Caenorhabditis elegans: one gene and its partners. The protein of the gene in region 2 purifies or fractionates together with the protein of the main gene of each other region. This does not show direct contact. Each region holds a gene or a part of one and is shown on either strand. Other genes may lie near its edges.

Region 1 (5,705 bases), 260 kb from region 2:
GATTTTCAATTAAAAAATCGAAAATAAAACTATAAAATTCGCTAAAAACCAAGTAATTTCATTTAAAAATCCGAGGAAAACGAGGAAGAATTCTCAGAAGACTACCATAAACTTTTTTGCGCGCCGAGACCCATCTGAATAAATCCGTGCGCCTTTAAGAAGAATCTTAGAATACATGGAAAAATCTTGTAAAGTGACAACATTTCAAAACGAAAAGCTGATTTTTTTCTGGAAAAGCGCGCAAAAAAGACTTACTAAACGATTGACAGGACGGCCGCCAAAACCAGGCGACACGGGAGGTGGCGTGCATGAATACCTCAACGGGCCGTCGCTTATTTATACCCCTCGCCTCTTCGTAAATATCCAAATCTTATATATCCGGTATATATCACGCTTATGACGACGACTTAGTGATAAATATGTGTATGTGTGTGTGTGGCTCAGCCGGATATACAACCCATTAGAGCAAATTGAAAATCGCTAATCTGAATTTTTGCTAGGCATATGGAGGATGTCGCGCAAATTAAAGAAAAATAAATAAAATTTATTGGAACAATTCACCAGATATAAACTAAACATAAAAAAGGATTGACAGATTCAAACTTTATTCCCTTTAAAATTGCATTATTTACAGGTATTGGGATTAGATGGGTTTTTTGACATTGCTAAATAGTGGAGCAATAGTTATTTCTTCACATATCATCTTCTTCATCGTCGTCACTATCGTGACGTCGCCCACTTCTTGCATTCTGTCTTTGTTGCTTCTTTTCCTGCGCCAAAGCCCTTTTGTTGGCCTTATCTTTCAGCTCTCGCTCGGTTGCTGTTCTGACGTCAGCAGTTCTGTAATAGCACAAACGCGGATCCTTGATGACAACGGCCGTCACACCAGTCAATCGCTTGCAGCCACTAATCGGCGAATTGACATAAACCGGTTGTTCTCCAAGCCACGAACGAACAGGCTTCACGCGGACACGCGTCGATCTTCGGACACCGTCTGGAGCATCTTCTGGCTTCACTGAAAATGTTTAAAGTTTCGAATGATTGCATTAATTAATTAAAACTCACTGAGTTGATGCTCTTTCAGTTTCATACCCCTGTGTGTTCTCGGACGTCTGTTTCCTTTAGAATTCGGTTCAGGATACCATGTTTCGTCAACGAATGTGTCGTTTGGGCGTCTTCTCGACGAACTAGCAAGACCAAGAGCAATCGAATCACCTGAAATTGTTTTAAAAACGTTGTTATTTGTGAAGTAACACTCACTAAGAAGCCCGAGTCTTCTAGACGACTTTTTCCTTGGATCTGGACGTGCTTCCATTTCTTCTTCGTCAGAAGAAGATCTCATTTCATTTGTATCGTCCTCTGGAAAATCAATGGCACTGATATCATGTGCAGGCTCTTCGTTGACAGTCAGCGCATTCAATTCGATGTTCAGGGAGCGATTGCTTGAATCTGCTGCCTCATCCTCACCATCGACAATCACACCACCATTTTCAGATCTTTTTTCAATGACCTCCGTCGCCTGATCCTCCTCATCATCCTCCAAAACCATGCGAACAGCGGCTGAAGAAGTTGTAGCAGTAGTCTTCGCAGGCGTATTCTTTCGTGAAGTTTCCTCAAGCAAACGATTAGCATCTTTCATATTCATCCTTTTGACGAGTGAAGCGAAAGTAGGCTGTTCATATCGTCGTGCCGGGGTCACTCGATTCACAGAATCAACGATATCCATCCTAGTCGGTGTTGAGAGCAGTGCAGCCCGAGCACATTCGACATTGTTGGTGGGTCCAATATTACGGATAGAATTATCCGTGTGCCGAATCGATCTGGAAAATGGAGAAATAAGAATAATATTCCGCAATTCGAAAAAAAACATACTTTGGAGTTGCGGCTTTCGATACATGCATTGGCTCCACTTTTTCTGGAACTTCTGGAACCGGCGAAACTCGAGATGCATTGAATGTTGGAGAGATATAAGACGAGCCAATAGAATCCGCTTCCATTGTTCGTTCTTCAGCTACCGATTCCATCTCAATCGTTCGCTCCTTATTCGATTCAGTACTAAGTCTGCTGGTTGCCTTGATTCGTGGCGGCGTTTGAACCACCGGTCTGATCTTTTTTCGGGGATGTTTGAAGAAGTTGGCTCCCGGCGATTGAATTTCTTCCTTTTCGAGCATACTGTTGTGAAGAGGATTAGAAATACTGGCATTACGTCGTTCTCGCTCATCCGAAGTGACTTTCGACGTTCTCCGTTTTTCTCCTCCTTCCATCGTGTTTTGTGCCAGTACTGGAGGCTTCACACCAACACTCGTGGTTCCTTGCTCGTATGCATCTCTTTCTTCAATAATAAACGTCTTTTGAAGAGTTGAATCGTTATTTTCATCTCTGTTAGCTACGTTGAAAGTTCTTTGAAGTGATGACTCATCTTTCTCGGTCGGCTTTGTGAACGTTTTCTGTAGAGAGGAGTGTTCTGCATCTTTAGCCACTGTGACCGTTCCCTGCATTTCCGAGCTCTGATTCTTCTCGATCGTCACCGTTTTCTGAAGTTCTTCAGGAGCATCTTTAGCCACCGTGAAGTTTCCTTGCAGCTGAGAGCTTTGATTCTTCTCGATCGTTACCGTTCTTTGAAGCTGTGATTGCTCTTTTGATGCATCTTTAGCCACCGTAAACGTTCTTTGCATTTCCGAGCTCTGATTCTTCTCGATTGTCACCGTTTTCTGAAGTTCTTCAGGAGCATCTTCAGCCACAGTGAAGGTTTTTTGCAGCTGAGAGCTGTGATTCTTCTCAATCGTGAGAGTTTTCTGGAGTGTTGACTCTCTCTCCTCGAGAATGGTTGGGATAACGACAGACTTGGTGTGAACAGTCTGAAACGATATAAAAGTTAGTTTAAATATCTTTAAAACAAACAAATTTTACCACTCTTTCAGCATCTAGTCGATCGGTATTGACGACATGTGAAATATCAAGCGATCTCAAGGACCTCATCGACGTATCACTCGAGCTCTTGGGAGTTGAACAACTTAATCCAGCTTTTCCACTCTGAAATTATAGATTTATTAAACTATGAACACGCAAATTCATCTCATACCCCTCTGGAATTAGCAATTGGCGAGCCCATCATCGACTTTTCACTGATGTGTTTCGGAAGCGCCGGAATGGCAAAAACCGAAGCGCTTCGGACATTTTGATTCACAGTGTTCTCGCTGTCGCTCTCACATTCGGAGTATTCACGACAAGCAATCAACTCTTTGAAGGTTTTCGCTCCGTACATTTCCTTTTCGAGACGTTTTCTGGCCTGAATATAGTTTATTAGGTGTTGAAAAGATTTTGTGACTGAAATTTACATTGTTAAGCTGTGTTTGTTTCCTTTTCTCCAAAATAGCGAACATCTGCTTCTCAGATAGTCCCTGTTTTCTCCATTCTCGCTCCTCCAAATTTGCACTATCATTCATCATCGATTCATCGACGATAACTGTTGGTTCCTCCAAGTACGACGGTCTTGTATCGTCCAAGCCAGCCTCACGAAGAGCAACGATTTCAGTGATCATTTTCTGAAATAAACAAAATAAGTAAGCAATCAAATTACCATAATGTGGAACTTTTTTTTTGTAAAAATCAAACATTTGTTAAGAATTTTAAAAATCTGAATCACTTACTCGACCAGGAACAATCGTACTGCGGGTTCGCGGTTTTCGATTCATTCTGCAATTTGATATCGTTTTGAAAAAAAGACAATTTTAAGAGGTGAATAAATATAAGCAAACTTCTCGATGTCAAATGGGAGCTAAATTTGAAAGTGGCGGTTTTGCATTGTACAACGGAGCGCGTTTGGTTAGAGGGGGAAGGCTACGAGAAGAGGATAGAGGAAACGTATTTATTGTTTTCTTTTCGCATTCAAAAGGCAAGAAGGTATTATGAGCCAAATATTGATTGATTTTAAGGGAGAAAGACACAGACTTTGTATAAAATAATAGCCGAACCAAGTCAAACGCAGTTTTGAAGAGAGGCCAATCGATACGCTTTGGTGAAATAAAGAAAAATGAATAATACTTCATCGAGATCTATTTATGCTTGTTTTCACGAATTTCAACAAGGCCTCCACGTCCCTAACAGTAGAAAATACTAAACGCAGAATTTATTAGTAGTTTTCTAAATAAAATTCGTGCAATATTAGTTGAGCGGTAGCTCTTTAAAGTACATATTGATTTCAACCAAGTTCTTCGAAAGTTATTTCAAGCGCGTTTTCATTTTTTTTTCTAATGATCCGCAAGAAAATAAAATTTTAAAACGAAAAGAGAAAAATAGAATAAAATCAAAGCCTAAAAATCAGACTCTAAAAATGATTTTTCCCGCCTGTCGGTATCAAGTGTACGGTATTCGTGGTGAGACCCGCGCCCCCGCGCAAAAAATTTTGAACTTTTGCGGAGATGTTTGCACAGACAGCATTTAACTTAACGCAATTTTGCATGCTTTCTATACTTTCGAACATTTATTGAGACCCGAAGAACTCGGGGGATGTCCAATTGGGGGGATTACCAACTCGGGGGATTGGCCTCACCCACAGAACCGTGGTTTGCAATACGCCCATTTCTGCAAATGCCGCACGGTTTTAAAACTGTATTTTTCTCAATAGAGCGAGAATTAACAAGAAAAAATAATTTTAAAACCGTGCGGCAGTTGCAGAAATGGGCGTATTGCAAGCCACGGTTCTGTGGGCGGGACCAATCCCCTGGTAATCCCCCCAATTGGACATCCCCCGAGTTCTTCGGGTCTCCATTTATTTTTTGTTTTTGCCTTTTTGTCTTACAATTTTGAAGGTTTCCCTTCATCGATTTCATCCAAAATTGAGAAAAAATGTTTACAAAATGTATTATTTTCATTTCTTCCAATTTTCTAATTCAGATTTTCCCTAAAACATTTGTGATTCTTGATTTTTTACTTTTATCTATATGAGTGACGTTGTTTTGACAGCATATTTGATCAAATTTCTAGAAATGGTTTGTTTTATCACTACTGTTCATGCCTTCTTAATTTCAAATGATCTTCAAACATTTATATTTGTGTTTTCGGTTATTCTTCATGTGTTTTTTATTTGATTCGTTTCAACCCATCCAAATGCGCGGTCTCTCGCTCGATCTCTCGTCTCTCTGCGTTTCCAGTGTAAAAGAGAAAGGCGAGCAACAACTTCTATCATTTCTCACGTCGCTCGTCAAAATAGTTGTCTTGTTTGTTTCTCAATTTTAACATTCTCTCCTGTTTTGACCATCTTTGAAATTTTTGAAAATCAATATCAAACAATTTCAGCATTCAGAAAAATGAGCTCCCTCAACAAGTTGGCTATCGACCAGTTGAACCTCGCCGGAAAGCGAGTTTTGATCCGTGTTGACTTCAATGTCCCACTCAAGGATGGCAAAATCACCAACAATCAACGTATTGCTGCCGCTGTTCCAACCATTCAGGTAATCAATTCAAATTTATTTCAAACAACATTTTCAATAATATTCAAAATTTCAGCATGCTCTTAGCAACGGAGCCAAATCTGTCGTTTTAATGTCACATTTGGGACGTCCAGATGGCAGACGCCAAGACAAGTACACCTTGAAACCAGTTGCTGAAGAGTTGAAGGCTCTCTTGAAAAAGTTTGTTGTATAATCTGATTTTAAAAAAATTACAAATGATTTTCAGAGATGTTCTCTTCCTCGACGACTGTG
Region 2 (3,859 bases):
AGTGTGCGCCTTTAAAATCGTAGCTAGTAATAAAAATTAAAAGAATTAAAGATTTTTTCATGAAATCTCACAAAATTTTAAGAAAAAAAAAGGAACATCGCAGCTTAAAAAAAAACAAAAAATAATTTTTTCTCAAAATTTAATTCCAGCGTCTACTACTGCCCGACATGCATGCTCCAAAACTATGCAAATTGGGAAGATCGCCGAGAAAGCGGAGAGCACACGTTCTGCTTCGGCTGTGCGTGCAATCATATGGATGAGCACGAGCACAAAATCAAGCAGCTCGGCATGGGCTCCGAGATCAGCCTGGAAATTGATAAAGACGACGGGAAAACTTTGGATGACAAAAAATCGTGTATTTCGTCGAAAAAACGTGTTCTGTACTTCCTCTCGATCCTTGTAATTGCTGTGATTATTCTTTTTGTTCTGTGTATTTATTTCAAAATGATTTGATTTTGTGTTTCTAGACGATGAAATACGGGTCACAAAGATGTTCGGTGGAATGATTGTATGCTATTTTTCATGTACCTTTTCACGATTTTTCTCAAAAATAAATTTATTTTTATATAGTTGTTTAAGTTGGTAAATGTGTAGCTTCATAAGCACTCAAATTTGAGCTCAAGAAAAAAATTAGCATAGGATTAAAAAAAAAGAAAATAAAGAGAAATCAAATATTTAAAATATCGATTTTCGAACAAATAAGGTTAAACTGGAGACATTCGTGTTGGGCTATCGGGGACAATTCTCTTCTGGCTTATAAGCTGCTCTTGGCTCTTCTCCATCACATGGAGCACTTCAATAGCATTGTTCACTGCTTCTAGCTCGTCATGTCGTTTTGCCAGTTTGATGCGGAGCTGAACATTTGGAATTTGAAGCTTTTATGTGAAAATTGGAAAGGTTAGATGCAAAAACTGGCGATTTTAGCAGGTTTCTAAAATTAAGCAATTTTTCTTGAATTTTTTGACGATTTTCAGTCTAGTCGCGGTCATTTTTACTCAACTTGCAGCCTTTTTCAGTCATTGTAGTCTATTTTGGACAGTTTTAAGCTATTTTCAGTATATTTTCCGCATTTTTAAGTCCATTTAGTAGTGAAGAAAAAAAAAATTCTGATAGGTTCCTCATTTATTTTTATTTACCTGTCGAATTTTCTCCAATTTCTCGTCGAACTCCTTCTCGACCTGTTTCAGACTTTTGTGCTCCTTGGCCGACGCGATGAGCATTTTCTTCTGAAAAATGATTTTTTAAATAAATAATTTCCGAAAAAAGGCAATTCTTACGCATTCTGGAAGAGTCACAGAGGCGGGAATTCTGAAGATATTTGTGACGCAGAATCTCTGAAAAAAATTGGCATAAATTCAGATATTTAATCGAGAAATATGTCAAACCTTCATCATTTTGAATGCTTTCTCGTTAGTTTTGTCGCTGAATGGGAAGGATAGCAAGCAGAGACGGTCTTTGTCGGTGAGCTGAAAATTAAATTTTTTAAAATTAAATTTCTTTTTTGAAAAAAAAACCTTTTTCAATGAGTTCTTAAACTCATTGCTGCAAACTTCTTCCCATGCGTCGACGTAAATATTGAAAACTGAAAGATTTCTGATTTTTCCGCAAAAAAACGTTCGAAAATTCAATAAAACTCACTGGAATCGCTGAACGAACCGGCCGAAAATCCGAAAAACGAGATTTGATTTTCATTAGAGATTCCCGACAATTCGCTCTCCATTTTTAGTTTCTGAATTGAATTTTTAAAGAATAAATGTTCAGGATTAAATCAAGAAATGAGGGCGAAAAACTGTTTTTGAAGATTATTGGTTCGCGGGAGGTGAGGTGTGCATACACGCTCACGTCGCATTGCGGACATGGAACATGGATACATATTTATATTTATTATTAAACAGGCGTAAAAATTTTGCAATTTTCCTCCAAAAATACTGTTTCTGGTCTCGAAACGACAATTATTTGTTGAATGAAACGGGTGTGCGCTTTTAAGGATTACTGTAATTTCAAACTTTTGTCGCTGCGGATATTTTATCGATTTTTCATGGTTTTCTGTGTGACAATAGTTTTGTTAGTTAAAAACTGGATGAAAATTATGAAAAATAAATAAAGAAAGTCTTTAAAAAATAAAAAATGACGGAAAATTATCCAAAAATTGGAATTTTCTCAAAATCAAAAGTCGAAAATTGTCGCTTTTTCCTTTTTTTTTTTAACTCTAAAAATCGGAAAAAATTTATAAAATCAAAAAAGGCATATTTTTCGATTCTCTGGGAAATTCCTATCGCATTCAGCACAAAATTGTCGTGTCGAGACCTGGTACCGTATTTTCGGTGGAAAATCGCAGTTCCTGGGTAATCAATAGGAGGAATTAAAAAGTTAAAAAAAAAGTAATTTTGGCTGTAAACCAATAAATAAAACAACGAAACAAACCTAAATACCTATAAATTCCAAGTGCTTTATTCTAAAATTCGATCCTCTAAAAATCTCAAAAAATAAATCATTTATTATTATTATCATCTTCGAAGGGCGTGGGCGCTGTCAAAAGTCCCTGATCCGTTTGCCACGTGGAAGTGAACTTCATGAAGGCGTCTCGAGCATCCAAAGCGTCATATTCCCTGGCGAAAGCCTCAAATTGTGCTCTTTTTTCTTCAACTGAAGAAGCGATCCGTTCGATTCGAGACAATCTTCGTTTCAGCTGCTTCCGTTCTATCGGTGCAATTTGCTCGTATGAGTCGTCGGGAAGCGGTCTAGAATGTTCACCTGACTGAAAAATTTGATTTTATTCTCAAACAAAAACCAGAAAAAGCTGACCTGATTTACAAATTTCAGGGTTTTCCAGAGACATTTTCCCAGAGATGCTTTGAGTTGAATCAGGGTGATTGATGTTTCATCGTTTTCTGAAATTGGATTTTACAGTTGGATTTTACAAATTTGCCAAAAAAAAAACAAATTTTGTAATGAGATTGCCAAAGAAAATCTCAAAATTTTTTTTTGAGTGGTTAAAAATTTCGAAAAAGTGGCTAATTTCAGCTAAAACTCCTAGTTTTGGCTGATTCGAAAATTCAAAATCGAATATTTTACCAAAAATTGGAGAAATTGTCCAATTTTTTCGAAATTTTAATCCCAAAAATCTTTTAAAAAGAGATTTTTCAGAGGTTCCATTACGAAATCCGTACTCCCAGAACGGACCACTCTCATACGCCACCATGATACAGAATCCACGAAGTTTCGGTTTTGAAGAGAACGAGAAAAGAGCAGTTTGAGGACGTTTCGTTTCGTTTAACAAGTACTGTGATAAGGAAAAAAGAATCTTATTTCCAAGTTTAGAATCTGTTGTAATGTCCATTTTCAGCTTATTTGATCGTTTGCTTCCCAGGAATCCCTGACGGCAGAGCTCGATTTCAGGCAAAAATCCGAGAAATGAAATAGAGTCGATCAGTGTTACATGGCTTCCTATTTTTTGTTTCTTGAATAGCTGCAAATTTGAAATAAATACTTGAATTTCAAAATTTCACTAAAAACACCTTAATCTTGAATTTATCGCTTCCAAATCTACAAATAATTTCCTTTTCGCTCATTTTTTGCCGTTTCTCCGCAATAATTTCTCGGTTCAGTTCTTTCAAATCAGCGGGACACAATAAGAATCGTAGGTTTACACTAGATCGTTCAAAATTTGTAGCAACTTCCTTTGCAGCTTCATAATCGTCGTAAAGAGTTTTCAGTTCACCGATGACGTAAACAGTAAGATTTGGTGGAAATTCGCGGTCGAGCAATGCCAGTTTCTAAAAAAAAAGGACGATATTACATTAAAATTATATATTAAATAACAAACAATATTCAGGAACATCTCGACATCGATGAACCA
Region 3 (4,290 bases), on a different chromosome or scaffold from region 2:
TCATCTGGTCGAACTAATCTCTTACCCGAAAGGTCTAATGGTCTGAAAATTATAAAATCTGAAAAGAACATTATTTGAAAAAGCTTACTGCATAATTTGTAGAGTGAATTTTTCAGAAATACAATACAAAAATTGAGAAATGAACGAAAAATGTCAATGTTGAATGCAATAACTCGAGGCCCGCACGATTTATTTAAATTTATTTAGAATTTTGGTAGGATAATATTCAATTCAGAAGGACAATTCCAACTTGTAGAGCTAATGAGCGAAGAGAAGTTTAAAATTTCTGGAAAAGTTTTCATTTCAAGATAATTTTTTTTTCAAAAAACGTTTCAAAACTTCCGACTCTCACTTATTCCCTGTTTGAGCTTTCTCCAAAATAAGAAACCACGCCCACTTTTTGTCTTACTGTAGTCTTAAAGACGCAAACAAAAAAATACAAGGCAAAAAATTCAAAATTTCTAATTTTATTTTTAATTAAAAACAGAGGCACATAATCTCCCCGTAAATACCACTTGAGTGAATTCTTACCTGAAAAGTAAATTGGTGTGAAATTTCTAGAGCCTGGGAATGAAAAGAAAACATTTGAAAATAAAGACCACATGATTTATTTAGACTCAGTTAAAATTTTGTTATTGGTATGGAAGAAAGCATAACATTTACATTGAATAGAGATCAAATGAAGTGAAATTTTCGAGTTGAGTCATTCTATTTGAAAACGGAAAAACTCGAATCGTTAGGTTGTGGATCACAATTTTCCGTGTTCTCTCCGGCGTCGATTGTCGATGATCCGAATGTGTAATCACTCAGAAGGCGTCCGGTAAGAGAGCTTTTTAGACGTTCCATTTCACGTGCAGCTGCAGTGTTCTTCTCAAAAGCTACTTTCTGGGTTTCTTTGAACATTGCATTAAGTTTTGCGAATTTTGCAACAGCATCTTGGCAAGAGTTGGTGATTTGGGAAATCGTCTCACTGTGTGCGTTTTTTAGAGCGAGGAGTTCTTGCTTCTGAAAAAAATGTTGGTGAGTTTTATGAAGATTGATCTGACAAAAACCTTTTTAGCAATTTCCTGTGACACATCTGGCTGACTAGTTTTCAAATTTGCGATTTGCCTGAAAGATTTACATCGTTTAAAAAAATGTTTTCAAAGTATCAAATAAATTCCTCACTCGGTAATCTCCTCAATTCTACGCTGACGCTCTTCACTTTTCTGCGTGTGTTCTATACGCAATTGTTCATGAGTCTCCGACTGCTCGACGAGTCGCTTTTGTGCCGTTTCCATCTCCTTCATCATAAAATCCAATTGCTCCTCCATTTCCTTGAGCTTTCGAAGATTCTCACTTTCAACATCGATCAGGTCAATGATAACTTCTCGAACTTCAGTCCACTGATGGATCTTCTCAATAATCACTGGCACGTTCTTCTCCGAGTTGATGCAAATTTCACGAGCCTCGAGTTTTGCTTGAAGGCCTTTTCTGAAAATAATTACTTTTATTTTGAATTTTTGGAGAGACTGAAGATATATCAGTACTTTGATGATTCAAGACAATCGCGGAGCTCTTCAATGTGACGTTTCCTTTCCTCCATTTCTTGTTTCAGCTGTTCCGGCGATGTCAGAACTTCTTCATTCAAATGCTCAATTGTCTTTTTACCAGTTAGCATTTCCTTTTCGAGGGCTTGAATGTGCAGAATAGCTTCTTCTTTCTGCTTGTCGAGTTCTTCATTAATTTGACGAGTTTCGGTATATTCGTTCACAACATTTTTAAGTTCTGCCTTCGCATTGCTCTGTTCGTTGATTAATTCATGCTCATGACGTTTTCTTATGCTTTGTTTCGCGAGAAGATCATTTTTCTTCTTCTCGGCTTCTAACAACTCTTCCCGAATCTTTTCCATTTCGAACTTTCGATCACTGAACTCTTCGCTAATTTCATTGAACGCTGGAGTGGCCAATTCGTGAAGTTTCAGAAAATCTACAAGAAAACTTGTCAGCTTTCTGAATCGATGTTCGTGTTTTGCAGGTGTCACGAGATCGCACATCGTCAAGTCCAGCTTGTTGCCAGAATTATCTTTGATAAATGCTTTCCTGAAAAAATATTTCAGCAAATCTAACATTAAAATTAAAATCTTACATGCATTGGAAGAGAATAATGATAGGAATGCTCTTTTTATGCAATTCTGGATCATAATCACAGTTGGCGGACAGCGGAAGGGTCGTCAGCGAGCTTTCCGACACATTTAACACAAGCCTCACAAAATTAGCAAATATTTGTTGCGCTATTTCTGCCTGAAATCGGGTTATTTGTGCTGATGAATTCAATATTCTGTTCAAACTTACGGTTGGCTTGATAATGTCATCGGCGACAAGGCCCATATGCAATTTTTGACCAAGATACTTTGAAATCATCCGCGGATCATACACAATTAGTACAACGTTTGACATTTCTCCTGAAAAATGGAATTTCAGTTCTAAAAACACAAAAATAAAGTTAGAAATTGTTAAAAACAAAAAAGTTTATTTGAATTCGCCGAAGAGCGCGCCAAAACATGTGACATTTCTCGGCCGTGAAAACTAGGCCACCGCGGCCACAAACAAATTTTAGTTTTCTTCGCTGAAAAAAACATGTTTTTCAGTCTGAAATCAGAGTTTTTAGTATGAAACAAGATGGACGAGGCTTCCTGTAGATTTCCAGAATGGGTTTCTTCAAAAATCATCGATTATTACGCAGAGCAGGTAACATAAATCGCTGTGATGAAATAGGGACAAAATTTTTTTAATTTCAGAACATCAAAGCGCTGTTCGATTGGCAGATTGATGTGTTGAATGAGGCAAGACAATTTGAAGATCAACACTTGATATTCAGTGCGCCAACAAGTGCTGGGAAAAGCATTGTAGCTGAACTTTTATGTATTATTTTATCTGGTTTAAAGAATAAATGTTTAAAAACTGTAATTTTCAGCATGGAAAGTCGCTTCAACTGGTAGAAAGGTACTCTTCGTACTTCCTTATATCTCCGTGGCTCGAGAGAAACTTCATCAAATTCAACGGTGTTGGAGACGAGATGACATTTCTGTCTGTGGCTTCATTGGTCCACAGGCCTCAAATCCAAATGAGTGGCTTGGGGCAGTTTGTACCATCGAAAAAGCAGCAAGTTTGACAAATCGAGCATTATCAGAAGATTGGTTTGAGGAAATTGGTTAGATAAATCGATTTTAATTTAAAATTTTCACAAAAAGTAGCTTTCAGGAATGATAGTCGTTGATGAAATGCACATGGTTTTCGATTCGTCTCGTGGTGCACACATTGAGCACATGCTCTCGAAAGTTTTGCTCTGGAACCAATCTGCACTGGAAAAAGTTAGAATTATCGGAATGAGTGCAACTATTCCAGAACTTTATCGAATAGGCAAATGGCTGGACGGTGCGAAAGTTTTCGAAGCAAGATTTCGACCAATTGTTCTACAAAATCATATTGTAATTGGTTCGGAGTTGAGGAAATCTGGAGATAACAAAGTTCTAAGAGAATTCTCTGAAGATCCATTAATATTGCTTACCGAAGAGAGTTTTCGCCGCAATTCTCAGACTTTGGTAATGATTTCTTCGAAACTTGATGCCGAGAAGACTGCTTTGAATATTGCGTCGAGATTCCATGAGATCAATAAAACCGACAGCTCATTGTTGGAAATATTAAAAGAACGAGCCAATGGACTATTATTTATAAAGCATGGATTGGAACGGAATGGTTGCAAGGATCGGAATGTTATGTCAACACTTGCATGGGGAGTAGCATATCATCATGCTGGATTGACGATGGAGGAAAGAGAATGCATTGAACTAGGATTTCGGGAGAAAAATATTGTTATTCTTGTGGCTACAAGTACTTTGGCTTCAGGTGAGTGTTTTAAAATTTTAATTGTGGTCAACCGAAATATCGGAAGAAATTAAAAGCAAAATGTTTGTTGAAATATTTTTGGGGAAAAAATTAAATCAAACAATAATTTTCATTTAGGGTGAAGATTTGTTGATAAAAATTTACTTTAAACTTTCAAAAAATACTATTCACTCAAGAATTTCCAGTTGTTTGCTAATCCCGCTCTTCCCTTTTTTTTAAATCGAAAAGCGAAAATTTTTCGGTTTTTTTTTCGAGATTCCAAAATGTCGATTTTTCGAATAATAGCATACAATTTTGGCCCTTTTTAGCTGAAGAATATTAAATTTTTGTTTTCTTTTTTCTTATTGATGAAATAAGATAAAAGGTTCAAATTCGTCGATATATTAAGATTAAAACTATTATA

Evidence for each region. Proteins that work in one complex are often made in the same cells at the same time.
Region 1: the proteins of mis-12 (region 2) and hcp-4 purify together in Caenorhabditis elegans (affinity purification with mass spectrometry; one study listed by BioGRID). This does not show direct contact.
Region 3: the proteins of mis-12 (region 2) and him-10 purify together in Caenorhabditis elegans (affinity purification with mass spectrometry, with the first as the bait; one study listed by BioGRID). This does not show direct contact.

The regions. Positions count from the first base shown.
Region 1 is NC_003279.8:3,862,243-3,867,947, forward strand, and holds hcp-4 (HoloCentric chromosome binding Protein), read right to left. Parts: upstream 3,697-5,705; 5' UTR 3,696-3,696; coding exon 3,651-3,695; intron 3,546-3,650; coding exon 3,339-3,545; intron 3,290-3,338; coding exon 3,083-3,289; intron 3,034-3,082; coding exon 2,911-3,033; intron 2,859-2,910; coding exon 1,873-2,858; intron 1,821-1,872; coding exon 1,261-1,820; intron 1,216-1,260; coding exon 1,066-1,215; intron 1,016-1,065; coding exon 693-1,015; 3' UTR 591-692; downstream 1-590. Other genes in the region: guk-1 (guanylate kinase), read right to left, coding at 256-310; pgk-1 (putative phosphoglycerate kinase), read left to right, coding at 5,310-5,453, 5,509-5,633, 5,680-5,705.
Region 2 is NC_003279.8:3,603,975-3,607,833, forward strand, and holds mis-12 (uncharacterized protein), read right to left. Parts: upstream 1,730-3,859; 5' UTR 1,721-1,729; coding exon 1,639-1,720; intron 1,583-1,638; coding exon 1,515-1,582; intron 1,467-1,514; coding exon 1,386-1,466; intron 1,335-1,385; coding exon 1,278-1,334; intron 1,227-1,277; coding exon 1,137-1,226; intron 932-1,136; coding exon of another isoform or gene 899-931; exon of another isoform or gene 855-898; coding exon 705-854; 3' UTR 541-704; downstream 1-540. Other genes in the region: Y47G6A.31 (RING-type domain-containing protein), read left to right, coding at 150-453; Y47G6A.25 (uncharacterized protein), read right to left, coding at 2,492-2,758, 2,806-2,891, 3,184-3,469, 3,519-3,776, 3,827-3,859.
Region 3 is NC_003281.10:5,801,413-5,805,702, reverse strand, and holds him-10 (Kinetochore protein Nuf2 homolog), read right to left. Parts: upstream 2,444-4,290; 5' UTR 2,439-2,443; coding exon 2,334-2,438; intron 2,283-2,333; coding exon 2,128-2,282; intron 2,082-2,127; coding exon 1,530-2,081; intron 1,474-1,529; coding exon 1,168-1,473; intron 1,111-1,167; coding exon 1,053-1,110; intron 1,006-1,052; coding exon 709-1,005; 3' UTR 591-708; downstream 1-590. Other genes in the region: R12B2.3 (Ras-associating domain-containing protein), read right to left, coding at 1-42, 89-93; polq-1 (DNA polymerase theta), read left to right, coding at 2,661-2,729, 2,780-2,903, 2,956-3,192, 3,243-3,887. UniProt on the Caenorhabditis elegans protein: Acts as a component of the essential kinetochore-associated NDC80 complex, which is required for chromosome segregation in mitosis and meiosis and spindle checkpoint activity.